Linked DNA regions of Mus musculus. The protein of the gene in region 1 interacts with the protein of each later gene in a pairwise test. Links are inferred from orthologs where the notes say so. Each region holds a gene or a part of one and is shown on either strand. Other genes may lie near its edges.

Evidence for each region.
Region 2: the proteins of Cdc42 (region 1) and Pak3 interact in a two-hybrid assay, tested with the Homo sapiens proteins (2 studies listed by BioGRID and IntAct). The link is inferred for Mus musculus from reciprocal best matches to the Homo sapiens genes CDC42 and PAK3.
Region 3: the proteins of Cdc42 (region 1) and Arhgdia interact in binary tests that used the Homo sapiens proteins (3 or more experiments, as listed by UniProt). The link is inferred for Mus musculus from reciprocal best matches to the Homo sapiens genes CDC42 and ARHGDIA.
Region 4: the proteins of Cdc42 (region 1) and Cdc42se1 interact in binary tests that used the Homo sapiens proteins (3 or more experiments, as listed by UniProt). The link is inferred for Mus musculus from reciprocal best matches to the Homo sapiens genes CDC42 and CDC42SE1.
Region 5: the proteins of Cdc42 (region 1) and Plekhg4 interact in a two-hybrid assay, tested with the Homo sapiens proteins (2 studies listed by BioGRID and IntAct, with this or other methods). The link is inferred for Mus musculus from reciprocal best matches to the Homo sapiens genes CDC42 and PLEKHG4.
Region 6: the proteins of Cdc42 (region 1) and Myo9a interact in a two-hybrid assay, tested with the Homo sapiens proteins (3 studies listed by BioGRID and IntAct). The link is inferred for Mus musculus from reciprocal best matches to the Homo sapiens genes CDC42 and MYO9A.
Region 7: the proteins of Cdc42 (region 1) and Cdc42ep1 interact in binary tests that used the Homo sapiens proteins (3 or more experiments, as listed by UniProt). The link is inferred for Mus musculus from reciprocal best matches to the Homo sapiens genes CDC42 and CDC42EP1.

The regions. Positions count from the first base shown.
Region 1 is NC_000070.6:137,326,760-137,330,259, reverse strand, and holds part of Cdc42 (cell division control protein 42 homolog), read left to right. Parts: intron 1-1,135; coding exon 1,136-1,245; intron 1,246-1,349; coding exon 1,350-1,547; intron 1,548-3,500. UniProt on the Homo sapiens protein: Plasma membrane-associated small GTPase which cycles between an active GTP-bound and an inactive GDP-bound state. In active state binds to a variety of effector proteins to regulate cellular responses. Involved in epithelial cell polarization processes.
Region 2 is NC_000086.7:143,735,091-143,738,590, forward strand, and holds part of Pak3 (serine/threonine-protein kinase PAK 3), read left to right. Parts: intron 1-166; coding exon 167-332; intron 333-3,500. UniProt on the Homo sapiens protein: Serine/threonine protein kinase that plays a role in a variety of different signaling pathways including cytoskeleton regulation, cell migration, or cell cycle regulation.
Region 3 is NC_000077.6:120,578,825-120,582,884, reverse strand, and holds the start of Arhgdia (rho GDP-dissociation inhibitor 1), read left to right. Parts: upstream 1-1,260; 5' UTR 1,261-1,363; intron 1,364-1,637; exon of another isoform or gene 1,638-1,895; intron 1,896-2,491; 5' UTR 2,492-2,513; coding exon 2,514-2,703; intron 2,704-2,834; coding exon 2,835-2,918; intron 2,919-3,140; coding exon 3,141-3,217; intron 3,218-3,305; coding exon 3,306-3,369; intron 3,370-3,454; coding exon 3,455-3,654; 3' UTR 3,655-4,060. UniProt on the Homo sapiens protein: Controls Rho proteins homeostasis. Regulates the GDP/GTP exchange reaction of the Rho proteins by inhibiting the dissociation of GDP from them, and the subsequent binding of GTP to them.
Region 4 is NC_000069.6:95,227,164-95,231,223, forward strand, and holds the start of Cdc42se1 (CDC42 small effector protein 1), read left to right. Parts: upstream 1-1,260; 5' UTR 1,261-1,702; intron 1,703-1,779; exon of another isoform or gene 1,780-1,851; intron 1,852-1,888; exon of another isoform or gene 1,889-2,042; intron 2,043-2,445; exon of another isoform or gene 2,446-2,469; intron 2,470-4,060. UniProt on the Homo sapiens protein: Probably involved in the organization of the actin cytoskeleton by acting downstream of CDC42, inducing actin filament assembly. Alters CDC42-induced cell shape changes.
Region 5 is NC_000074.6:105,371,935-105,376,071, forward strand, and holds the start of Plekhg4 (puratrophin-1), read left to right. Parts: upstream 1-1,337; 5' UTR 1,338-1,884; coding exon 1,885-1,928; intron 1,929-2,818; coding exon 2,819-2,965; exon of another isoform or gene 2,966-3,047; intron 3,048-3,292; exon of another isoform or gene 3,293-3,446; coding exon of another isoform or gene 3,447-3,529; coding exon 3,530-3,921; intron 3,922-4,081; coding exon 4,082-4,137. UniProt on the Homo sapiens protein: Possible role in intracellular signaling and cytoskeleton dynamics at the Golgi.
Region 6 is NC_000075.6:59,749,916-59,753,973, reverse strand, and holds the start of Myo9a (unconventional myosin-IXa), read right to left. Parts: upstream 2,801-4,058; 5' UTR 2,629-2,800; intron 1-2,628. Other genes in the region: Senp8 (sentrin-specific protease 8), read left to right, coding at 3,710-3,712. UniProt on the Homo sapiens protein: Myosins are actin-based motor molecules with ATPase activity. Unconventional myosins serve in intracellular movements. Regulates Rho by stimulating it's GTPase activity in neurons.
Region 7 is NC_000081.6:78,848,525-78,851,402, forward strand, and holds the end of Cdc42ep1 (cdc42 effector protein 1), read left to right. Parts: intron 1-640; coding exon 641-1,407; 3' UTR 1,408-2,378; downstream 2,379-2,878. Other genes in the region: Lgals2 (galectin-2), read right to left, coding at 2,483-2,626, 2,740-2,878. UniProt on the Homo sapiens protein: Probably involved in the organization of the actin cytoskeleton. Induced membrane extensions in fibroblasts.

The DNA.
Region 1 (3,500 bases):
TTTCTTAGGACTTCCTATGTTTAGTTTTTGCCATTTTTATTTTGTGACCCTTTCACCTCTGGCTAACTCCTAATTATTTTATTCTTTTTACATCTCCTTCATTCTTGCCAAGTTCCTTTTTTCTAGGCCTTTCCAGTTACAGATACTGACTTTAACATGCACCTATGGATCGAGCATTGGACTTAGTCTGGTAGTTATTATGGATGGTGGATGCCTTCAGTAGAGTATTTTGTTAGGTGGTCTCACTGTGATCTTTAGTAGCTAGAAGTAAATATGATTTTTTTCTTAAACTACACCTGTAGTAATGATTTATTGTTGTTACATTACTACTAAGTTATTAATAAAGAACTTAAAAAAAAGTAGTATGCCAATTTCCTTGCTGTTTAATTTAGTGGCATATATAAATAGAACCAGCACAGAGAGTATTGTCCAAACAGCATATTACAAAGCTATACCTTTGATTAGCAAAATTGCTTTGTCACTAATGGCTGATATGCTAAGAGCTGAATACCTGAAGTCTTAGCGGAGCTGTAGTCCCCTGCCCACCTCTTTTTTGAAACAAGACTTTTACTATGTAGTTTTGACTGACTTGGAGCTTGGTTTGTAGACCACCCAAACTTGTAGTGATCTCCTGCCTCTGCTTCCTGAGCTCTGGGTTTATGGGCATGCACACTATCTCCATTTTTTTCCTTTTAGATTACATGTATGTATGTATATATGTGGAAGCACATGCCATAGCATGTATATGTGGAGGTCAAGAAGCTAAACTTGGGGGATTTGATTTTCTCCTTTCACCGTCTGTTTTCTGGGGACTGAATTCAGGTTGTTAGGCATGTCATCTTTACCACTGAGTGATCTTGTTAGCTCCGCCATGTTCATCTTTGACAATTTTTTTGATATATGATCTCATGGTCACACCTAACCTTCCTGCCTCTGTCTCACTAGTGCTGAGATTATAAGCTTGTGCCAACCATGCCTGTTTTTAATGTGGTATAGGGCTTGAGTCCAAGGCTGTATGTGTGCTAGGTTATCACTCTGTATACTAAATAGCTATAGCCTTAGCCCCTGACCTGTGATTTTAATGCCGCGAGGATACCAAATCTCAGTTGCCAACCTCTCTTAACTCTTTCTTTAGGGCAAGAGGATTATGACAGACTACGACCGCTAAGTTATCCACAGACAGATGTTTTTCTAGTATGTTTCTCAGTGGTCTCTCCATCCTCATTTGAAAATGTGAAAGAAAAGGTAAGTCAGGTTCTGCCCTTTGAAACATGCACAGAATTCCTGTTGCCCTGTTACAGTTTCAGTGGCTTGTGGATTAACAAAACATTTTAAAACCTTGCTTTTAGTGGGTGCCTGAGATAACTCACCACTGTCCAAAGACTCCTTTCTTGCTTGTTGGGACCCAAATTGATCTCAGAGATGACCCCTCTACTATTGAGAAACTTGCCAAGAACAAACAGAAGCCTATTACTCCAGAGACTGCTGAAAAGCTGGCGCGGGATCTGAAGGCTGTCAAGTATGTGGAGTGCTCTGCCCTCACACAGGTAAGGAGGGCTCTGGAACCTATGTCTCTGTAGTCAGTTGTTTTGAGCATTAGGATACAGAGGCTCTTTCCTTTTATTCTTTCTTTTTTCCCTTAAAAATTTGTCCGTGAATGTATACTGTGTGAGTGTAGTTCTGCAGAGTACATAAACTGACATGACTATTCCAAGGTATAGTTGAGAGGAAGGTTTTTTATTGTAGATATGAAGGAAAGACATCAGGAAGAATCCAGAGATGAGAGAGAAAATAGACTGAACATGGCCAGCAAACTGGACTTGGCCATGGTGGTGGTGGGGTTTGAAGGAAGAAGAGAGAGGAGGACCAAGAGAGGGCTGAAATAGAAGGGAATGAGAAGCTGGAGGTGGAGTGGGGTGGGGTGGGATGGGGGCTTCTGAGCTGGAGAAGTTGAGGGTAAGGAGTGGGTGGAGGTCAGCATGCACTTGGTTATGCTAATAGGCACCCTAGGTAGCAATTTGTCCCTTCTGCCAGTGATAAGGAAATGACTTCCTGAGGAGTGAGGGCTTTTTGTCCATCTGTCAGAATTTGGCCCTGACATTTCAACCTTTTGTTTATGATAAGGGCAACATAATCTCTTCTGTAACTGCTTCTTAGTTGAAATTAGGACATTGATGTCAGAGCTCTGGAAGACTGGGATGCCTGTTTAAGGTTGGGAGATTCCAGTGCTCTGAGCAGTCTGGAATGACAGAGACCACTATCTAGACAGTTGTCCCAGATTCCTGTGGTCCTGTTGCACTGTGGTCAGAGGTGGTCTTTGGCCATTAGGCCAGAAGAGGGAGGCCTTTTTTTTTTTTGTGGAGAAGGAACATGGGAGAGACTGACCTCATCTTGTCTTCAGCAACACTTAGCAATAAATCATAGCAGTAAGTTTTCCCGTGTCCGGTTTGCCCACAGTGCAGGCTGGGCCCTAGTGGGCAAGGCAGGGGCCAGTCTGTCCACTGGTCAATGTACTCTAATCCAGGTTTAGTCTTTTGTCATTCTGCCTATATCTTCTTGAAGAACTTGCAGAGGTGGGTTGTGTATCACTGTTAGGATTTGGGAGTCACTGTCATATAATAAGTTTAAGCATATTAAATGCCATAGTCAACAGGTCTCTGACAGGCTTGAGGGCTAGTACCCACCGAGCATATCTGAGTTAAACAATCTTTGTCTGTTTTCAGGTATCTGCGCTAAACTGTACCTTGCAAACATAAAACAAGGGGCTAAGTAAAACTTCATCTTGTAATTACGTCAATTCATAGAGAAACCTCAAATATATTTTTGGACACATTAAAAGATTTGATCATTTATTTATAAGGTTACTATCAACTTGCATTTCTTTTTTTTTTTATTAAGATTTATTTATTTATTATATGTAAGTACACTGTAGCTGTCTTCAGACACTCCAGAAGAGGGTGTCAGATCTCATTATGGGTAGTTGTGAGCCACCTTGTGGTTGCTGGGATTTGAACTCAGGACCTTCAGAAGAGCAGTCAGTGTTCTTAACCGCTGAGCCATCTCTCCAGCCCCTTCACTTGCATTTCTTAATTATCCTTAACAGTTGACAATAATTTAGTAGCTTCCTAAGATTAGGACTTTGTGGGGCTTTTTGTTTGTTTGTTTGTTTGTTTCTTTGTTTTCGAGACAGGGTTTCTCTGTGTAGCCCTGGCTGTCCTGGAACTCACTTTGTAGACCAGGCTGGCCTCGAACTCAGAAATCCACCTGCCTCTGCCTCCCAAGTGCTGGGGTTAAAGGTGTGAGCCACCACCGCCTGGCTAGGACTTTGTGTTTTATCTCTGTTAAGTTTAGATTTAAAAATTAAGATTTTGATTTTGCTCTTCTAGTATCAAAATAAAATTTCTAAATCTATAAATATAGTTTATAATTAGAGACTGGGCACATTTCTGACCTTTATAGAACATAAAAGCTTCCTTGGTAGCCTGTTTCTGTGGTCAGCT
Region 2 (3,500 bases), on another chromosome or scaffold:
TGAGAACCAGATAGGAAGAATTACTAAGAGAGGAGCAGCAAGATGCGAATTAGCATGTAAGATTTTCCTTAATGTTCTTTAACAGTGACGTGACAGTCCCTTGCTGCCATACTTCCTTACCTACTGTTTGAATTGTGAAATTGTGCTGGGTATGTCTGTCTTTCAGATCTATACTCGCTCCGTGGTTGAGTCAATTGCTTCACCAGCTGCACCAAATAAAGAAGATATCCCACCTTCTGCTGAGAATGCCAATTCCACCACTTTGTACAGGAATACAGATCGGCAAAGAAAAAAGTCCAAGATGACGGATGAGGAGATCCTAGAGAAGCTGAGTGAGTGCCTTCCCATCAGCAAGTAGTTCTCATACAGTGACTAGGAGGAGACTTGATCCTTTAGATCTTCCAATCTTCTTGTCGGACTCTAGGATCTCTTATGTCACGAAGTAATTTTTTAGGACTTTCTGTTTCTAAGAGTGGTTATTTTCTCCCTCATAGTCCTACTCTGACAGAAACTTAGCATTTTCACTTTGAATGGTCAAAATGGTCAATGAAGATGTAAAGGACAAAATATATTATGGTAGTAAGTTTAAGATTACAATACTAAAAAAGAATTAAAGTATGTCATGACTATACCAGAAGGTCCCCATTGATAGACATTAGTTTTTAAAAAAAAAATCAGCCTTAAAGTCCAATAGAGTACAATAGAAAACTTGCAGCCTCAGATAAAATAGCTTCCCCTATCTCGGTGGGGAGGGAGGCAGGAGCAGCAGTTGCTTCCAAGGTGTCATTGGTGCGCACATACTTCTGCCCTTTCCAATTTGACAAAGTACTCAAGATTCAAGATTCAGAAATAGGTTTTCCCCTGAAAAAAGTCAAGGTTCTATGAATTGTATTATTAAATTCATAAAGAATGGCTACATATTAGTAATCAGTGCTCAGTTTAACTCTTACAAGTGCCTTATTCCTTTTTTTTTTCCTCTGCAGGGTAAGATTTAGTAGCATAATGAGAGTAAAGGGGCTGTCACTTTTTACATTTTTTTTTTCAGCTAACAGAGCAGAGCAAAGGAAAAGAGAAAATTCATTTGCTGGCCACAAGGAGGCACTGTAGTCATGGCGACAGAGCCATTTTGCTACGAAGGAGCTAGCTTAAGACAATTTTTGGTTTCCCAACTGATACAGGACTGCTGTCATCTAGATGATGGAGGCTAGGGATACTGGTAGGGATCAGGATGCGACATCCCCTCCCTTGCCTTTCACAACAAAATTCTGATTTGGACAGAATAATTACTTTGTGTCTACTGCATTCAAAATAGCTTCATATGTAGCACTATCGTCATTTGAAATAGAGATGTTTGTGGCAGCCAAGGTTGAAGTTCAGCTGTCAACACTCAGACCTGGAATTGCTACAATTTAGCAAACTGACTTTGCTATCCTCCATTAAATATGCTTCTAGCTTTAGTGCCCATCATTTGCTCTAATAGCACAACCGCAATAATTCTTACACGAGGAGCACTTTGTGAGTGGCCACTTTCCATATATTATTTTCTCTACAGTCACTTATGGTAGATCTTAACGTCTACATTTTACAGAACACTGAATATAAATTTTAAAATGCTTAAGTGACCAAGTCACCATAATAATGAGTGGTAGAGGCAGAGTTTGACCTCACATCTTTATGCCTTTAAAGCGTGCACTTTTGCCCATTAGCCACTTCGGTTTTGCATAACTCAACTACTCGTTTTTCAAACAGAGGGGTGAGATAAAGAACCCTCAGGAAAATGAGGTTCAGTGATTCAGATAATCACTACAGTTCTTCCTTTGTTTTGTACATATGACATGAACTGTGAGACAGATTACATTAGACTTTTAAAATCTGACAGTCATGCATTAGTCAAAATGACTGTTCTCTGGTGTCTCTTTCGAACCTTAGCACATTCATTGTCATGAACATTGATTTATTCATTTCATAAGAAAGCTGAGAAATAGGCATTGCATTTCTGAGCCATGGTTTTTCCCTATAGACTGTGACAGTGATATGGATGGGACCTTTCTGGCTTATTTATCTTGGTCTGCATCAAGGAACAACAGGACAAACAGAAGAAGGCACTGAACTAACTGTTAATGAGAGCTAAGTTTTAATGAGAATAATTGTAAAGAAAAAAAAAGAATTAAGTGACTGTTTTTCTCTATTGGACTTTATACTTTATTAGAGTCCAGAGTCAATTGTTTTCGCTCTAGCAATCAGGCTACTTATATCTGCCAGCTTTCCTTTATGCTTATGAATCTTGCCAAGGAAAACCTACAGAGAAATGGAAAATGCTTTCTTAGGAAGTACACATCTCAAGTTCAGACCTTCCAGCCCCAAAATGCTCTACCATATCTATGCCCCCTCAATGTGTTTGCATACTGGCTGCCAGAAAGAAGTCATTTAACCTTGCCTGGTCTCTGTCTCTTACCTATGAAATGGGTGTAAGAATCATAAGTACATTTAAAAACTTTCTCTGTAGAATGTGTATCACAAGAAGACAGATACTGGAGACAGAAAGACCTAGATTCAAAACAATGACCTACTGATGCTATTTCTGTTTCAGCCTGTTGTTTAATTTTTTCTATTTCTTCATCCACAAAAGTTGGGATAATAATAATAATGCCACTTCAATGAAAACCTCTGGCTCACAGTGGGGGACTCAACAAATGCTCTTGGTTTCATTAGGAGTACAAACTTTGAAATGATAATGAGGTCCAAGTCATATCACAAACTCTGTGTCCCTTTGGAAGTCTCTTACCTTCTCTGAACTTCCAATAATAGTAATAGCCCCAATACAATGAGAGACTATTTTGAAGATTAAATAAACACATTCAAGTAGGTTAGATATCCAGGGCAATAATTAGTTTAAAATTATTGTTTTATTTCCGTTGTGCCATCATTACAGAATGGGAGTGATCTTCCAGTAGGATAGGGTGCTTATAACTGAGGACAATCTCGTAAGTGTGGTACCTACACAGAAGTCATTGATGTCATTGGAATCAAAAGTGCGAATTAATCTTGGGGAAGTAGTAGAGGAGCCTGTGCTGAGAGACAAAGGAATGAGGGTTGGGGAAGGAGGCAGAGAAGTACAGGGGTGCCCTTCCACCTACATGATAGTGAACCCTATGAGGATGAGAAAGAAATGGCAGCTTTTACTTAATCATCCTCATCTTCAACCTCAAGAATGTGATTGCTAGAAACTGTGCAAGCCAAACCACAGACAGAGCTACCAGGCAATTCATCTTCCATTCAGATACGGATGGTAGGGGCCAGACCAAGTAATCATTAATAGCTGAAGTGCACAGATCATCTTTCAGTTTTACACAGACAGATAGCTTGGGAATGGCTTGTTCATTGTGGTCTGTCTGGATCTGTTGGAAAATAAAGGAAACTCCTGAATGCTAGCAAATGTTTTGAAAAGGCATTGGCAGTCAGCACAATTTTGAAGTGCAGGAAACTCTGTTTAACCTCCC
Region 3 (4,060 bases), on another chromosome or scaffold:
GTTCAGAGACTACTTCAAAATATTGATATGCATAAACATAAAAACGCAGCTTTGGAAGATTTGTACTTTGAGCGTCAAACCAGGGAATTGTGGGTGGCACAGAGCTCAATAAACCAGGCTCATCCAGTTGGAGGACCATGAGCCTCCTGAAAAGCCAGCTTGACACACTTCGTTGGGCACACCTGTGTGTAGGTGGAAGGCCAGCCAAATTCATCATACAGTAAGAGTGGGGATAGTCACGTGGCTTTTTGTTTTAGAATAGTTCTGCATAGAAGAGCAGCTACCTGGATGTAGGGTAATGATATTGCAAATCCATCTTCCTTAGAGATAAAAATAAATGAGCTTGAAAGAACACTTGGTTTGCTTCAGATTGATGTATAGCCAGAGGGTATGCGTGCTTGTGTAAAATAACTGGGCCACAACTGAAGATGGAGAGTGGAGGCCATTGGATTCCTCATCTTTTAAGTTTGATGACTCTCCGGAGCCAACAGCTGTTTCCTGGATACCACAGGGGCAGGTGTGGCCAACAGAGCAGGCCAGAAGCGATGGCTTTTGTGGGATTAAGCTATAGAAGTCCCCGTAGTGCCCCTTAAATTCCTGCCTCCCCTCAGTCTGAGGCTACACTCAGAAGAAGCCAACATGGAGTGCCCTCACGGAGTAGCAGGAACTGAGACTCCTCAGGAGGAACTGGAGTGGCTGGCACAAGCACACGACCGGGAACCCCCCCAGCCAGGCCCTCCACTAAGGAGGCTCCATCCTCAGCGTCGTGAAACACGCCTGGCGGTGATGGTGCACGCCTTCAATCTCAGCATCCTGGAGGCAGAGGCGGGCGCGTCTCAGGGATGAGGTTCAAGATAGGCAGGCAGCCCGTTCCAAGGAAAACCGCTCCTCACAGCAAAACCATACAACTTCTAACATACGGGGGCTCGGGGGGCACGCAGTCCCCAGAGCAATGCGCCAGGCAGCACAGCTACAGGGCACTGCGGTCGGTGAGGACTGTGGTTCTGTTGACTCTGAGGACAATGGGACAAGGGCCAGGCACGGCAATCAGGGAACCCTGGGAGCCACAGAATGGCCGCGCGACGCTGCTCTGGAAGAGCCGGCTCTCGTGTCCCACAAACCCTCGCACCCGGCATTCGGCAGAAGGCGCGAGGGCGCCGGCCCACGCGGGACGCGCCCACGAGGCCCGCAGCAAAATGGCGACGGCGCCGACCCGCGCCCCCTGGCGGCGCATGCGCAAGGCGACCCCGCCCGCGAGAGCGGAAGTCTTGTGACCCCGGAAGTGACCGTCCGAGCGGCGGGCGGCGGACGACGTTCGTCATTTGGTGCGGGAGGGAGCGCGAGAGCGGCGGTCGAGCCTCCGGTGAGTGGGCGCGTGGCGCAGCGCGGTGCAGTGCGGGAGGGGAGTGGGTTGGCTTTGTGCGGCGTCGCGGGCGACTGCGGCGCTCGCGGGCGGGGCGCGGTCACCCGGGCGGGCGGGCGGGGCGGGCCAGGGCGGCAGCGCAGGTCCTGCCGGAGGGGCCGCGGCCCCCCGGGCCTGCGCGCCTGCTACCAGGGGACCCCCTTCCTCGGCCTCGCGGGCGGGGTCCGGCGCGGGGCCTGGCCCGGGGCTCCCGCCGCGCGGCCCCGCCCCGCTCGGATTGCGGGCTCTACGGAAGTGCGGGCCGCGCCCTGATGCTGTCGCCGGCGGCCACGCTTGGCGTCGGGTGGGGTTGTCTGTAGCCTCCGGGTTTCGGACCGCCGCTTTATGTGTTTCCTTGGCGGACACCTCTCAGAGGGACAACGGCCGGGCTCTTCCCGGGACCGCTGCGCATTGCCTGTAGGCATCACAGTGGGTTTCCGAGAGACGTTTGGGAATCTGCGGAACTGAAAGGCATCTAGGCGCTTCCGTCCTGGTTGGTTCCTCACCGCCACTAAAGGTTTAGGGTCAGGGCCCAGAAACAGGCTCCTGAGATTTATTTGCAAGCGGTGCACTAGCTCCCAAGTTGCATACGCAGACCCTCACTAGAGAGGACAGACCTGCGTATTTAGGATCCCCTTTGGGCTCTTGGGATTTAAGCGGTCATCACATAGTTGAGCTTAGGACAGTATTCCATTGGAAGGGACGAACAAACAGACCCTTGTCCTGCACGTGGCTAACATACAGAGCATCTCCCTGTCGGAGAACTTACCTCCATGACCCAACCCAGTAAGATGAGAGCCTGGGCAGCTAGGGACAGCAACAGGACCCCAGGGATTTAGTGTTGCGTCTGCCAGTTCAGTTCGGTCTGGAGGCTTATTCTTAGTGGGGAGGAAAGGTGTTTTGCTTCTCTGAGGAACAGGCTGTGGTCCCATTTCGTTGCTTGGGGTTCTAGTCCTCTCAAATGGGCCTCTGCGTAGGGCAGTGGCAGCATCCTCTCAAAGTTCCAGTCAGGTGTCCTGCAGGTGTCAGGGTCTGCCTAGGGTGGAATGCCTCCAGGCTGTCACAGTCCTGCTCATGCCCCGCCCACAGGTGTCCCAAGCTAGAGGTAAGCATGGCAGAACAGGAACCCACTGCTGAGCAGCTTGCGCAGATAGCTGCAGAGAATGAGGAAGATGAGCACTCTGTGAACTACAAGCCTCCAGCCCAGAAGAGCATCCAGGAGATCCAGGAACTGGACAAGGACGATGAAAGCCTCCGAAAGTACAAGGAGGCCCTGCTGGGCCGAGTAGCTGTCTCTGCAGGTAGGTGGCTTGGAGGAAGGATGTCATCTAAACCTGTGCCCAGTCTCTTTCCAGACCACTCTTCCAAGGAGTGAGTTTAAAAAGAAAAATCTTAAGGGATGGGACTCTGACTCTTAACTCTCACTCTGCAGACCCCAACGTCCCCAATGTCATTGTGACTCGACTGACCTTGGTATGCAGCACTGCCCCAGGCCCTCTGGAACTGGACCTGACAGGTGAGTGGGTATTAGAATCCCTGGGTGGGGCCAGCTGGCATCTTGCCTCTACCCCTAAAAATAATTTTCTGCACTGATGCCCTCTGGTGGAGAAGAGGGGAAGTGCAGCTAGGGGCTTGCCGAAGCTCTGCTTTGTGTCAGGGAAGGGGCTGGGGAGAGTGAATGTAGCAGGGTGGAGAGCCCTTCAAGCAAGCAGTCAGCGGAGACTCCTCCTCAATACAGGTGATCTGGAGAGCTTCAAGAAACAGTCGTTTGTCTTGAAGGAAGGTGTGGAGTACCGGATAAAAATCTCTTTCCGGGTAAGGTGGGGGCTTTGAGAGGCCTGGAAACAAGGGGCAGAGGGGCAAGCCTGGGAAGGCAGCTGACCCTGGCTCTGTGTCCCCACAGGTGAACAGAGAGATCGTGTCCGGCATGAAGTACATCCAACACACATACAGGAAAGGGGTCAAAAGTGAGTGGGCGGGCCATAGAGTGGGGAGCCATTGGGCCTGGGAGGGGCGTGCAGCACCAGTAATCCTGCCTCTCCTGTCCCTCAGTTGACAAGACTGACTACATGGTCGGGAGCTATGGGCCGAGGGCCGAGGAGTATGAGTTCCTGACACCCATGGAGGAGGCTCCCAAAGGCATGCTTGCTCGGGGCAGTTACAACATCAAGTCGCGCTTCACAGATGACGACAAGACTGACCACCTGTCCTGGGAGTGGAATCTCACCATCAAAAAGGAGTGGAAGGACTGAGCTCCAGCTGGGAGACGGGCAGGGCGACGGACAGACAGAAGGACCGACATGCCCCACCCTAACCCCCTACCTACCCCAAACCAAAGTGCTGACAGGACCTCCCTCACCCGTCATTCCTCCCTAGTCCACTCAGGCAGTCAGCTCTCCTGTCTGCCCCTCCTCCACCTCCTGCCCGCAGGCCCCTGTGGTCTCCAGTGTCACATTGCTGCTTCTGCCTGTGCAGTGGGGGAGGGGTTCCAGCCCAGGCCTCCAATCTGCTGTGTCCCTCCAGGTTCCCTCTGTCTTCCCTTCCTCAGGCCCTGGCTTCTAGAATGGAACAGAACACTGTCAGGGTTGTCCAGCCCACCTTGTCTCTGTCGCAGCATGGGGAAGGGCTGGGCTATCTGTCCTCTAGTCCCACCACTCC
Region 4 (4,060 bases), on another chromosome or scaffold:
GCAGAGTAACTTCTAAATTTTCATTGTCTATTCTTAGAGATAAAATGATTAGTAGATACACACATTTAAAAGATACACTTTCTTTAAACTACCTGGACACACCCAAATACCCTTTGTCCAGATCCCCCCAAGAGCATTCAAGGCCTAATCCACAGGGCCTTGCTGTGTCATGCTGCCACCATGCAGTCTAAGGAGGGATGGTGGTGGATGAAAATGGAGGCTTCCTGGTATTTCTCATGTTGCTCTAGGATTTTCCTATTAGCCACAATCCTCCCCTTTTTCTAGGAGGAGCTGCAAAGACAAATCTGCTGTCATAAGTAGTTCCTGTGAGCTACACTGATTGCAGCATGCCATCGGGCAATCCCACAATGGCTCCCACCTGTCCCACCTAAAGCCTCTTTGGAGCAAAAATCTGAGATAGGGAGGAGATTGTTAAAGGTTCCAATCACTCTCAATAGCATCTCATGTTTAAAAAAAAAAAAAAGTACCCTACTCCCCAAACCTCCCTACAAGAGACAGAAAATCGAGGGGGATAGAAATACAAGGGAGTAGAGGCTACAATAATTACAGTAGGAATAAAGATTCACCAAATAACTGGTAGCAGAAATTATAGCTTGAAAAGGAAGATATAGATAACTAGACACTAGACAGAAGCCATTAGATGCACAGGGCAAAAATTATAGGAAAATGAATACATGAAATGAAGAGCTAAATGCCGAGAGATGATTACAGGTAAAGTGCTAGAAATGAATGCCTAGGTCCATGGTAAGGCATGGATGGAGATCTTAACAGATAAAAAATCTGGTAACGAATAGTAACCCATTGTTCATAGCGCCCCCTTCTCTCCTCTTAAACTGCCCCCCACCTCGGTCTCACACGGGGTCTTTCAAGCTTAAGAAGCGGTCCCTCGTCTTGGTTACCTGTTAGCAATGAATGACTAGGGTGTTCCGAAGACGGAAGGGATGCCTCAGGGGCTCGGGGGTCGGCTCTGGACTGGAGAGGAGGAGGCTGCTGAAGGAAGCTGTCGCGGATGTGACGGCTTTGTCTCCTCACGCCTTCTCCCTCGTCTGTGACAGAATCTGCCGCTGGGTCTCCCCTGCAATGCAGCCCCTCCTAGCAAGGGCGGAAGCACTCCCCGCCCCCTCTCTGCCTGACTCGGCTAATTCGAGGGATAGGTTCCGGAACACGCTATCCACCGTAGAGCCTCTCCGTCGGCTCGCACCGCACCCCCACCTCTCCAAGTACCCTCGTGCTGACTGGAGCGCATGGCTGAGCAGTTAATTGTCCTCTAACTTAGATGTATGGGTTAAAAAGTCTTCCGGTTAAACAACAGAATGGCCCTCCTTTCCCACTGTAAGGACTAAAGGGGACTTTGGGAGACTCAGAAAGGGCCCCAGCGCATCGTCCTCTCAGCGCCTGCAGCAGGTGGACAGACTAGCACAGACAGTTGGGGTGCCGCGGTTGTCCCCGAGCGCGGTGCTTGCCGCTGTCCCCGCGGGCCACGCCGTGCGCCCCGAAGCTGGGCGGAGCGCTGCGCTCCGCTCTCAGCCCCTGGGTTTCGTAATCGCGTCGCCGGCGTTTCCGCCCTCCGCCAGCCCCACCTCTGCCGGCCCGCCCTCAACTCCCCGCCGTGCCGAGAAGCAGCCAGGGGACCCGGAGTGGCGGAGCCCCCGCCCGCAGTGGGGACGCCGGGGAGCCGCAGGTAAGAGCGCCGGGCGAGCCGGGCTGCGCGCGGGCGGCGGGGAGGGGAGGGCAGGGCAGCGGGGAGGTCGCGATCACAGTACACGCGCGGGCGGCGCAAGCCACGGAGAGGCAGGGAAGCGGCGACTGCAGCGTGGGGCCGGGTGGAAGGTGCGAAGCGACAGGGGCTCCTCGCCGGCCCTCTAACCTGAGAGATCTGCTGTGCTAGAGAATCCGAAGTGGTGCTGGGCCCCGGAAGGTCTAAGCCAGAGTGAAGCAGCCACGGAGAACATTGACAGAGCCAGTACAATTCATCGAAGTTCCCATCCTGGGTCGCAGTGGGTGGGGGACGGAGCTGGAGTCTGACGGAGAATATTGGGGGAGGGGAAGAAATTAGGATCTCCTTCTGTTAACTTTTAAGTATCCCCAGCCCTTCCCTGGGGTTAGGGCAGGGTTGGTGCTCGGACAAATATCTGTAACTTGTTTGAAAATGGGGCCCATTCCTCTCTTGGGAGTCCCTCAGCAGCCCGCTATGTTTGGAGGGTCTCCACACAGGGACCAGCTGCATCCCCGGGCTTATAGCCAGAATTTGCCCACACGATTCTCAAGTCTCTTTCTCTCCAGCTGCTTCTTGCTTCTTGTGAAGGCTTGTCAGACAGCGGGTTGGAGAGGGAGGCCTTGGGGCCGGAGGCAGCGGGACCGGGAGAACCGGTTTGGGGCTACCACAGGCTCGGGGAACTACCTGTGTACATCCTTCCTCCCCACCTCTCTCCTGCTCGCCCCTCTACAGCTCTGAAGTGTGTAAGGCCCACCGGGACGATGACGGTGGTTTAGGGTTTGTCATTTCAAGTTCTGGGTTTCTGGTGGAAGTGAGAGGGGCCCTCCTGTCAAGGATGTGGCTTTCTGCGCTTTTGTCCCTGATCCCTCCTGGCTTCCTTTTTACTGTGGGGATGAAGTAGTGGGCCATGGATTCAGCATCCCACCCTCCCCAGCTAGCCAGCTCAGGCTTTATTTGTTCCCAGCCCATTCGTTGGCTGCTTTGAAGAGGAGTGACAGCCAAAGCTTAGTACTTCCTTTTCTGGCTTTGTTCCTCCTCCCCCCCCCCCCACCCCACCCCACCCCACCCCCAACTCCCGCACTACCACAGTGACCCTGGCTGGTCTTCACACTCTGACACGGGCCTCCAAGTTTCAGAGACCCTAATGTCCTAAGGGAATGGAATTTCCTGGTCACTTCTCATCATCATTGGTGGTTTCACGCCAAGTCCCACACACACTTTCCCTCCACCCAGCTTGGTCAGGTCCCTGGAAGAGAAACAGAACTGTCCTTGTTCCCTCCTCGGCCCCCTTTCCTCTCCCTCCTCCTTCCCGCTTCCAGCATCGGCCACCCCTGACCACGCCGCCGGCTCGGCTCGCTTGGGGCAGGGTGGAGGACGTTGGTAGAGCCCTGCCTCAGTCTGGACTATCTGGTAGTGTTAGGGGTTTCCTCTGATTCTTTATTGTTTTCTCCATTTCCCCCAAGCCTTACCACCTGCCACCATCTTGATGAGCCTTGTGACTGACTTTCCCACTGACCAAGCCTCCCCTCTCAGGGCAGCTGTGCTCTGGACTTCAGTCTCATTACTCCTCCCTTCCAGGGGTGGGAAAGGAAGTGAAAGAGAGTCCAGACTCTTGGGTTCTTTCCTACCCTAGAAGCCTTATTCCACTGTTTGAGTGATCTCATCTCAAGGCTGCTACAAAACAACAAAGAAAAATGTCCAAAAAACAAATTGAACTCGGTTTTTTGTTGGTTTTTTTTTTTTTTTTTGGTCTGTCTAGGCTACTGGAAGGCTAGGCTTCCAGCCTCAAGCCTGGAGGGAAAGGTCCATTCTTATTCATGCTAATGTTTAATATTCATGAGCTGTGCTACCTCCCAGAGCTGGTCTGTACTATAGGAGAGGGAAGTGCAGTTCACACAAGGAAACTCAGCTGGGCCGTAACCCCTGGCAGCAGTGAAAGGGGAGAAAGTTCTTCCTTGGACACAAGTGCTACTGGAAAGTTCCTGTGTCTGGTTCACTGGTGGAGCTTCGAGGTGGTGGGGAGCAGAGTGGGAGACACAGGTCAGAGCATGAGGGGAAGATGAAGGGAGGCCTAAGCAGGCCCTCTGGGGTGTGAGGCAGGAGCTGCACACGATAGGACATGTGTAAAAGGGTGGGGAGGCTGGAAACTGATTCCTCAGAGCAGAAAGCTACTCTTCGAGTTACCCCTACAAGACATGGAGCAAGGGCCACGGGTGGGCCACGGGGAGGTGTCCACAGTCTGCCTAGCTTTCGGGAAAGACAAGGGCAGGTATTAGCTGATCTCTGGGAGGGGTGGCTGAGCTTCATCTGGGGCAAGTAAGA
Region 5 (4,137 bases), on another chromosome or scaffold:
TATCTCCCTAGCTTCCCTCCATCTTAAAAAAACAACAGGATCTTGTTATGAAGCTCTGTCTTGTCTGGAACTTTTTTTTTCCCCTTTTTTTTAGACCTGGCTAGCCTTGAACTTGTGTATCGTCCAGCCCTTTCATCTCAAGCCCTAGATTAGAGGCATGCACTCTTTGGTCACAATGAGGGCCGTTCTACGTCAAAGAAGGTGGTCTGAGACAACAGGGTTTTAGTCAGCTCTGTTTCCCCATGCAGTCTGGGACCTAAGAGAAAAGGCTGTGATGCCCCTGGTGGCCTTGAATGCCACTCCCAGGAGCCTGGGTTTATTTGGGTCAAAGATGAGAGGGGTCTGGGAGGTTTGAGAAATCAGTTGCTTTGCTGATTACAGTGGTCCTGGCTTAAGGGACTTAAGTCATACACAGACTTAAGGGAATGTATCCCCAGATCTCCAAAGCTAAGGAGTCGCCTTTTCTTTTCTTTTCTTCCCTTTTCTTTCCTTATGGATGGATGTTGTCAAGAAAAGAGAGGTAGGGAGGGCTGGGGAGGGGGGAGGGCGGAGTGGGGGGGGGGGCTGTCCACATTCTACAATCTCAGTGGAAAAGACTTCTCTGAGTAGATTCAGCAACCAGCAGAACCAGAGATGGCCTTCGTGAGTCACTGTTCAGACTTGCAAGCTCAGCTCTGGAAGCCCGCTGTGGTCAGCCACCCCAGGTTGGCTCCAGGCCTAGCCCCCCACTGTCCCGCACTGGGCCAGTGTCTGTCCCTGTTGCTGTTCCATGCCTTTCCCATCCCAGATACGTGTGCCTCACAGCTCTCTGCCTCTTCTGTCTGAGTCTGTCTGTCAGTCATTTTCTCTAACCTTGGTTTCCACGTCACCCACGTGGGAAGAGTTCAGGACGGGAGGGGCGGTGTGACTAGTCTTAGATACCCCTAAATATTTATTCTGTGCCAGGCCTGACATACAGAGCTCGAAATATCAAAGTGGACAATATTCAGTCTGCCTGCTTACAGGGCACATTCTGTGTGGAGTGAGAAAACCACAGCCTAGTTCTGCCTCTGTCTCAGCACGCGTGCCTGCGCTCCCCCAACCGCCTGCTGTGTTCAGAGGGCCTGGGTCAGTTAGGGCCTGAGACCTGATGCCTCTTATTTGCTTCATCCCTGGGAAGGGTTATGTTCCTCCCGGGAAGTCCATCTTCTTACAGCTCCTGGGGGCCTGGCTAGTGGGTGGAGGTGAGCCTCAGAAGCAGGAGGGAGGGAAGGAGAGAGGGAGGGAGGGGCAATGACTCAGTGGGGGTGGCCTGGGACAAGAACCAAGGACAGAAGCCAAGACTGGACCTGATGCTCACTGAAGCTAGAGGAAGGAGAGATGGAAGACATGCCTAGGAGCTGGGGCTGGAGAAGGACAACTCCAAGGCCAGCCTTGCCCCTTGCTCTTCAGAATCTGCCTTAGAGTCAGAGATGGGTGGGGACGCCTGTTGTTTCTACCATGGCTGCAGCTGATAACTAGATTCATGAAGGAATCGCCTGACTTAGAGCCAGGGAAGGCATTATGTCCAGTGTCCTCTCCTCCCAGGGACCAAGGCCATGGTGTGGGGGCTACATGCCTTTGTCTGGTTGCACAGATAACCTTTTTCTTATGATCTTTCCACAAATTCAAGAGTGTTAGGCCAGGCCCACTTCCTCCAAAAGGACCCCAGACTTTAGAGTTAAGAACGAGTAGGGGTCTCCCAGCTATCCCAGTGTCTTTCATCAGTTCAAGATTCCCTAACGAAGGGTGAAGTGGGAAGGCAGGGCATGAACACAGATATCTGATCCATCCATCAGGATTTCCCTGGTCCATCGGGCAACCCCAGGAGAAAAGAATGCTTTTCTTGTCTTACAGGAGAGGAAGATGAGGTGCAAAGAGAAAAGGGTCCCTGGAACAGCCCACAAGAGGTGAGTGATGGAACCAGATCTCAGCTGGTCTCTGGCCCCAGGGCACCAGCTTTCTTAGCCACCCTTTTCTGTGGATAGGGAAAAAGAACTCAGGGAATGAGGGTTTGAGCCTTATGTATGTTGGCAGGCCTGGGTCAATTCCCACCCAGAGACATAGCTACCTACCCTCTTCACCTTCCGGGTTTAACAAGTCATGGGATGTCACCGTTTATCTCTAATTTATTTCTCTGTCTTTTTGTTGTTTGTTTTATTAATTAAACCTGGGGGCTCACACAAGTCAGGCAAGGGCTCTGCTACTGAGTTACACCTCACAGCCCATCCAACCTGTTCCGTGGTGGGTGGGCCTGAGAACCTGAAGGGGAGATTCAGGCTACAGAGGAGTGGTGGTCCCTCCCACTATCCGTGAAGATTATCCACACGCAGCTACCAGGGCATAGGGAGTCTCTCTGGAGACGGCCCCTAATCATGGACTCACATGTGTGTGTGTGTGAGTGTGTGGTGGTGGGTGGTGGGACAGCTCTGAGGACCACGAGGGCTTGAGTGGTCCTCATCTTGTACATGGAAGCTGGGCAAGTATTCCCATGTCCCATCACGGGAATGGTAAAGGAGCCTTGCCCTCCTCCCACAAGGGCGTCCTTTGCTTCGTGCAAGAGCCTTCTTTCCATCGGCAGAGCCACGGCTCACTCACCCTTTCAGACAGTTCCAGCTCTGAGCACAGTGAGCACAGTGGAATGAATGTTGCCGGGGTCGGCAGAATGAGAAGTCAAGGGAGGGCTCGCCAAGTCTCCGAGGCACTGAGAGTAGGAACCCAGCGGCCGGCGGGCGCGGATGCTCTAGGCAGGGGGCAGTAGGCGTGGTCCCAGCTCTCCTCCGCACCCTCGGCCTTGCAGAGCGGCGCCTTCCGGAAGAACCTGTGATTCGGTCCTCCAGCCCCTAGAGAGCGCCGCGTCCACAGCGGCCTTGCGGCCCTTCGAGCCACCAGAAGGTGGCGCCCTTGGAATCTGGGCAGCCTCGCTGTACCCATCCTCGAGGCTGCGGTGCGTTTGTTCTTCGTTAGTTCGACGGCTCTGGTGGTGTAGCCTCCCGGCTTCAGAGTTCCCCACTGCACGTCCCAGGGGTGTGAGTGTGCGGGTGACCCGTGTGGGGCCGGGAGCACTGGGACAGGCGCCTAGGCCAAGGCCTGGCAGGGTGGGCTAGAGCGGAGAGCTGCGCGTGAGCCGGCTAAGCCTGTCGTGAAGGTGTGCCCGAAGGTATGGCCACCCAGTAGTGGTTCACGGAAGCGTAAGCCAGTCTTAGGCCCAAAGGAGACCCTGTTTCTTCCCTCACCAGCACACCAGGCTGGACTACTTTACTTTTACTTTCAGGGGACCTGGTACCCAGCCTAGCACTTCCTCCTAACCGCGGAGTCTTGCCCCACCATTTTCAAACCAGTTCCTGGATGAGCTGAAGTTTCCTTTCACGTCAAAGTCCAACCCGTTATCCACTTGTCCAGAGCAGACCCACTCTTACCAGGGAGTGATGGAAGGGCCTCTTGAGTGTGGGGATGTGTCCCCAGACTCCCAGGGCCATGTTGCAGATGGGAAGAGATTTGCTGTGTGCAGTTTCAGGAACACCCGGAAGGAGGAGGAACCTGCTCACGAGATACAGGCTATGGACCCAAGACCTTCAAGACCAGCAGCAGGGGCAACCCAAGGCGTAGGGCTACAGGGGGATTTCTTGGCCAAGGAGCCTCAATCGCTTCCGGAACAAAGGGCTGAGGATGGGCCACGGGGCTACCAGAGGAGCATAATAGGAGCCCCCCCAACCCAGTCAGAGGAGCCAGCCTTCTCTGAATTGGAAAACCTCTTGTGTTCTGGGTCCTCTCACCTTAACCTGACACAGGGTGACAATGACTATCGAGGGGAAGGCTTGATAGGGGACCCAGGTCCAGGCAGAACGCTGCCAGCTGGCTGTAGCCCTTTATCAGAGACATCACCAAAGCTACTGGAGGCAGGTAAGGGAGGCTGGGAAGTCTGGGGAGGGAATGGGGCTCTCTGGAGGTGGGCATTGACAGTTGGGAGGTCTCTGACCCTCCTCTGTCTGAAGCCCTAGTCTGTGGACAGTGTCTCTGGGCGAATGGCCCGATTCAGACCCAAGCCATTTCTCTTCCCAAGACCCTAGTGGATCCAGCTTCCCTAAGCCTGCTGACTGTCTCCTAGCTCGAGACCTC
Region 6 (4,058 bases), on another chromosome or scaffold:
AATAAATCTTTAAAACAGTAATACTAGTGGTAAAAACAACACATTAGATTGTAGTTTTTCACTACTAATAATTTCTTAAAAGAACTTAATCTAGGTATTTATATGCTCTAAATATTGAGTTTCTGCCTGAAATCTCTTCCTTGTAACTATACATCTTTGCCTCCAAAATTTACTACTGGCACAGAACCTGATGTTATGAATTTCTGACACAAATTCACTACATAACAGCCATTTATTTATTTTTTTAAAGATTTATTTTATTTATATGAGTACAGTGTAGCTGTCTTCAGACATAACAGAAGAGAGCATTGGATGTCATTACAGATGGTTGTGAGCCACCATATGGTTGCTGGGAACCGAACTCAGGACCTTTGGAAGAGCAGTCAGTGCTCTTACCCACTGAACCATCTCTCCAGCCCGTAACAGCCATTTATTTAACATGTCACAACTAAAAATTAAAATCTTCATCATATGGATCCTCACATAAGGGGAAAGATTGGAACAATATCTCCAATTTTGTCCTCTCTGTATGCTTTTCCATCAAATCACCAAGACTTGTCAACTACCAATATCCAAATTCAGAACTATGGTATCACCCTTCTAATATATTTCTGGCTTTAACTTTATTCTACTTTTAATCTGCTCTAAAGTGACTTTTAAAAATGCTCATCTGAACATTTTGGTCCCTCACTTCAAATCCTTTAATAATTGATCTGATAAATATAATTACCATTAAAAGTAGTCTTGAGTTGTAGCTCAAGAGAGTCCATGAGAAGTTTACTTCAGATACACTTCTTTTTATAGGTTCAATACAAAAATAATTATCAGAATTTTTTCAAACCATGAAAATCATTTATACATATAATACCTGGTACATTTAGAATAAAAGCTTGCAGTAATTTTTAGAAAAAGGACTAAAAATAAATCCAAGTCCATCAAAATGGAATACTACCCAACCAGTAAATGTGGCTCTTCCGTGAACACTATTGCTGAATGATCTCTAGGACTCAGCAGTAGTATGTGAAAATGGAATAATTTGTGTATAGTTTGTGTGTCTTTAAAATACAGATATAAGCTTATAAACGCTGGAAATATCACATCATACCAATTACAGAAGCTGAAAAATAGAAAATGAACAATTGGAGATTGGAGAAAGAGAAACTTTTTACTACACTATTCTGATGGTTTTGACTTCTAAACTGTGTCTCATTAATACCCATAATGTAAATTGGTTTTTCTCCCTGTATTACACACAGACACAAAAAAATGAAAGGAAAAAAAAACCGTAAGTACTAACTACAAAAATATCCCCCACCCTTACATAAACATTAAAATTATACACTTAACACTTAACATTACGCTTCCCTCTTGACATCTCAGGAGTATAATTTCAACAAACATTTTATTCAATATTTTACTACTACTAAGAAAGCTGTTAATAATAACTTCAATTCTGAATGACACTTATACTTGGTCCTTGGAGAAGACTGGGTGGTAAAAAAATACTAAAAACATTAGCCTTCAGGGATTAAGAACAGCTATAAATGCTGTTTTTCTAACAAGTTCAAAAACAGTAAATCCAAAACTCCTCTAGTTAAAAACCTGTGTATCTGTACAAATCTACAGTGCTGAGACAAATATATGAAGAGTTACTTATCTTCATTGGTGTAATGCAACTTAATCCTTACAGAAGCCCAGAAGTGACAAGATATAGACTGGTTCTTTCCTTCTACTGAAGAGACAAGATGAGGAGCAAGCAGCTTGCCCTTGTAACAGCACACATACCCTCCCTGCCTGGGCTTTCACACTCTTTGCTCTCTTTCCCTTTCAGCAACCAGTCCCTGAGGCTCCAAACATGGGTCTCAGTCTGACTCCTTAAAATCCAATGGAGTGAATATACTGGACTATGTAAATAACCCCTTCGAGTTTTCCTGGAAACTTCTTTTCAACCAAAGATCCCGATTGGTTAGAAATCAGGTAACAAGGTTTGCTTAAGAGGTCTTCTAGAGAAACTACACCAGGGCGGGGGGGGGGGGGGTGTGAGGGGGCGATCCAGCACTCTGATGGTGATTTGAAGGGCTAACCGGAGACCTACTAGGTAAGAGCATCATGACATTGGGCTATCTGAAAGCTCGTATGGGTAGGGGGAAAACCTAGCAAACCTGACTGGAAGTAAGCTGCGTGAGGGTCCCTATGAAAGCTCGGGTAGCGATGACTCGTAGGATACCCAAAGATCTGGGACGTAGCAATGCATTAGGAAGCAGTAGTGGCCTTGGTTCCCAGACAAGGATCCGCTCCGACATAACGGTGTCTAGAGGTTCCAGTCAGAGTCCTAAAGAGGGTCTAAAGAGGTTCTAGCAGGAGGTGGAAGGGGGCCAGTGACAGAAGCGCCGCGGCTACTGGTGGACAGAATGGTGTCTGGTCAATGAAAGGTACGGGAGAGTCGAGTCTGGGGGTGGAATCCCGGCGGTACTCCGGCGATTGCTAGGCTTTAGGGGCAGAGCTGCTGGCGGGGCGTCTCCGCCGGGGCGGGGCGGGGCAGCCCTCCGGGAGCCAAAGAGCCGAGCGGGAGACGTGGGCCGGGCCAGGCCAGGCGGCAGGGCCGCTGGGTGCTGGGGCGGGTCTTACCTCTGGCTGCGCCGCGGTGGCCACCACAGCCCCTTCCTCTTCGGCGGTAGCCGCTTCCCCAGCTCGGTTTCCAGGGTCAGAAGGAGAAAGCAGAGGCCGAGGCCGCCGGGGGGTAGGAGGGTTCCGCGAGGGTGGGCCCAGTCGCCTCAGGGTCCGAGAGAGCGGCGGCCGCGCATCCCCCGCCCTGTCAGAGAGACTCCGCCCGGACTGGGCAGGCACATCCCCCGCCGCACCCCGCCCAGAGAGCACGCGTTGGAAGCTAAACCGCGGTCCCTGCTTTTGCCCGGGGACCGGTATCTCCGCCGCAGTCCCTCCCCGTCCTGCCAGGACTTTCCGACGGCCACCGCCAACTGCCTCTGCGTCCCCAGTCCTCTCAGGCCTGCGCGCCCCCGACCCCGCTCACGCGGCCCCGCCCCGCGCGGCTCTCCAGCAGCAGCCGAGCAGGCGCGCGCGCACTTACCTCCCACGCCCCCTGCTGCCAAGCCCCGGACAGCCCCGCCCGGCCCCGCCTCCGCACGTGACGCTGCTGGAGCGGGCTGCCTGCGCTTGCGCGGACACGCCTATTTTCCACCCTCCGAATGGCCCCGCCTCCCCATTCCTTCTTCACTTTACGGCAGGGCTGAGACCTCCGTGTTAGATTCTCGATTACTACATAAAAACGTCGTAAGGTTGGAAAGGCAAACTCTGGGATTACGACCTTAAGTCTCACTTTCCGGCCAGTACAGAGCTCCCTGAAGGCTGGTTGGGTTGGTGAGGCCTGAGGAATAGGTAAGACGCCTCCTCCCTACTTAGGTTTGTCTCAGTTTTTGGAAGCAGTGGATCGCTTTGCGCTCCACGCAGACTCTAGTGTGTCCGAGCCCCTTCCTCATTCTGCAGCTGGATTCTCAGCGCCGCCCCTTTTCCACACACGCACGCCCCTCCCCCCACTTGTTCCCGCCCCCGTGGCCAAGTATTTCTTTCCATTCATTCCACAGACTTTTCACTGAGTTGTTTCTATGCTGTAAAATCCAGAATATTAGAAGAAAATGAAAAAATATCCGCTCTTTTGAAGTGCTGTGATGTAGGAAACAAAGAATCCGCAATGGTAACACAGTAAAATAACACGGGATGAGCTGAACACAAACGGGGGAGTGGGGGGGGGGGGGTCCTTGATTGCAGAAGAGGACTTTTCCCAAATGACTTTCAGGCCTGTGGAGAACTCGTGTTAAAACCTTGGTGGACCGAAACTGGCCAGAAAGAAAATGGGAGTAGAGAAAGGCTAGTACAAAGGCATGTGACAAACAACCTAAGAGTAAAAAGCAAGAGGATTGGCATATACCTAGTAAAAACCGCGCAGGTAGACTTCCATTTGAAACAACTAGACTATGTGGCGAGTGAATTTAAGGCCAATCTTGATCACAAGGCGGGGGAAACTTAACTATAACAAGTGC
Region 7 (2,878 bases), on another chromosome or scaffold:
TAGAGTGAAATCACACACACACTGGGCTGCTTTGCAGCAGGTGCCAGGGGCAGAAGCTGTTATTTGAACAAAGGCTCCTGTAACTTGGCAAGTTGACCCAGGTGTGAATGCCACGGAGGTTTTGGCAGGACAACTCACCAGGGGACCATGGGTAACTTCTGCCCCCTCGTGGCCATGTAATGCATTACAGTCTTGCTGCCACTATAGGCACAAGGAACTCCATCACCTGTCAGGCCTGGGAGTCCTGGAAGCGAGAGTTGGGCAGGTAAACTTTTGGAAGACACAAGCCTGTCCTGCCAGCCTGTGATTTCTCTGTTCTGGCCCTGGCTTCTGGCTCTTTCCTGTATCTACAGATCACCTCAGGTGCTTTGAGTTTACCTGTAGCAATCAGTCGGCATCAGAACCAGGAACCATGACCCAGTCCACACCAGGGACTGAGTGTCAAGATTCAGGTTAGGGTTAGTTTCACAGAGAGAGTATAGAAGGCTGTGGGGTCCTTACATTAGAAAAGCAGGCAAAATGGAGGCCAGCAGGTGTGTGTGTCTGTGTGTGTACAGCTTACCAAGGGTTTTCCTGACTCTTTGTCTCCAAGAACAGATTAGGGACCCCACCCCTGACCTTCTCCCCATTTCTCTGCTAGGCCTGGAGTCTGGCTTCTGCACCATCTCACGCCTGCCACGCGTGGAAAAGCACAGCAACCGTGACCGTGACCGTGACCCGGACCATTCTCAAGACCGAGAGCAAAGTTCTTTCCCCTCTGAGCCTACCCCTAACCCTGAGCTCCGACGCTCTGACTCTCTCTTGTCCTTCCGTTTTGACCTTGACCTTGGGCCCTCACTCCTCAGTGAGCTGCTAGGGGTCATGAGCCTTTCAGAAGCTCCAGCTGCTGAAACTCCAGTCCCTACTGCCAACCCCCCTGCTCCTGCAGCAAACCCTGCCCCTACTGCAAAACCCCCAGCCCATGCGATAACCACTCTAGATGCTGTGACAAGCCTTCCAGCCTCTGCTGTGACAAGCCTTCCAGCCCCTGCGGTGGCAAGCTCCCCATCCCGTGGACATTTCCCCAATGGGGTAACTTCTGTGTTGGGCCCTGCGGCTGAGGCAAAGCCCAGTCCTGTGGGAGAGGGTCCCCAGGTACCCTCCAACATGGCCTTTGACAGGCATGGAGCCAGCTGGGGGGCCAGCCGGGCCAGCTGGGGGGCCAGCCGGGCCAGCCGCCACTACACTGAGATGGATGCCCGGCGGGAGCTGGCAGGGGTGTTACCCCAAGTTCATGGCTCCTGGGAGAGTCTGAATGAAGACTGGAGCGCGCCTCCAGCCAGTGTCAGGGCTCCTGTGCCCACCTCGGTGCAGGTCAATGCCTTTGAGTTTGCTGATGCTGAGGAAGATGACGAGGTCAAGGTGTAAGGGACTGGCCATGGGCTCCAGGTCCTGTCAGCCTCGGGGCTCACAGAACAGAGGGGCTGAGTTCATTTGCCTAACAGCTACAAGATGTGGTCAACGGGAGTTGCCCCAGATCCTTCCTGGTCTATGCAAGGCAGGCATGGGTCCCCGCTGACCTGACCCAGCTCCCTCCACTGTCCCTAGGCCCACTAGCCCTTCAGTTATAACCTACGCCACCCCCTGTGGTCTGACAGTATGGTCTTTGTGCCCCAGGACACTTCCCTAGTGGGGTGGGGGTTGGGGCAAGGACCACATAGGGCCATTGTCTGTGAGTGGGACTGGCTGCCCCTACTCATTGAGAGCTACCGCAGAAGGCCTCCACTGTGTTCTCAGTAGCGCGGTTCCAGGCTCCTCCTCAGTTCCCAGAGAAAGGTCAGGCGTGACACAGGAGCAAATCTTCTGTGTACCCCAGACCTGCCTCCCATACCTGATTGTTAAAGCTTCTCTGTTAAGATCTGCCTGCCCAAGGAGGCAGGCCCGGCCACGGCTGACCTGTGCTTTCTCCTCCTGAGAGTTTGGAAAGTTGAGGACCCCCTTCTGGCGCCCCCCCCTCTAGCTAGGAGAGAAGGGGGGCCAGACGAGCTAATGAGTAACCAGCCTGGAATGTTCAACGATAAGAAGCCCAGGTGGGACCCTTATCTGCAGTTCCTGGAACACCCTGGCCCCAGGTGCCAGGAACCAGTATCTGCCCCATAATCCCATGGGGCTGCTTGGCAGGTGCTCAGATCACCGGGAGGGAGACAGGTCCCCATGCAGAGGGTGGCTCAGGAGCACCTCCCATCCTCTCTTCTCAGCAGTACTATACCCCGTGCCTCAGTTTCCTGCCCCCCCCCCCGGTACCAAAGCCGGGGTGGGGGGGAGCATTAACATGCGTGGAAAATGCTAACAGTTCTTGCTGTGGAAATAATAAATGTGGATTCTTTTATTTGACCTTGACCTTGGGGAAAAGCACAGACCCTAAAGGCTGTGGTTCTGGTGGGGGCTTGCTGGAGGGCTGGCTGAAGCTGGTTCTGGGGGCTAAGGTCTTCTGAGGTGCCGCTCACTCCAGTTTGAAGGAGGAGATCTGGAGCCCACCCATGCTCAAGTAGTGCAGTTGGTTGTGGCCCAGCCTGTTGGGGAAGGTCAGCTGGTGTCCGTCAGGCAACGTCACCTTGAAGTCTTTATCTTGGAAGGTGATGGTGATCTGCAGGGAGAGGAAGCTTATCAGGAGAGCCAGGGAAGGGTCCTGACAGGTGCCTGGTGGCGCTCCCCAGGTTGGGGCTGGAGGGCCTTGGTTGGGTTCTCCTTTGACCTCACCTTGACCTCTGACCCTGGACTGAAGCACATGTGATTTTCTCGTTGCTCTTGTCCCCAGCGGCCACCTTCACTGGTGTTACAGACAATGGTGGATTCATCGAAGCGAGGGTTAAAATGCAGGTTGAGGGTTTCTTTCCCC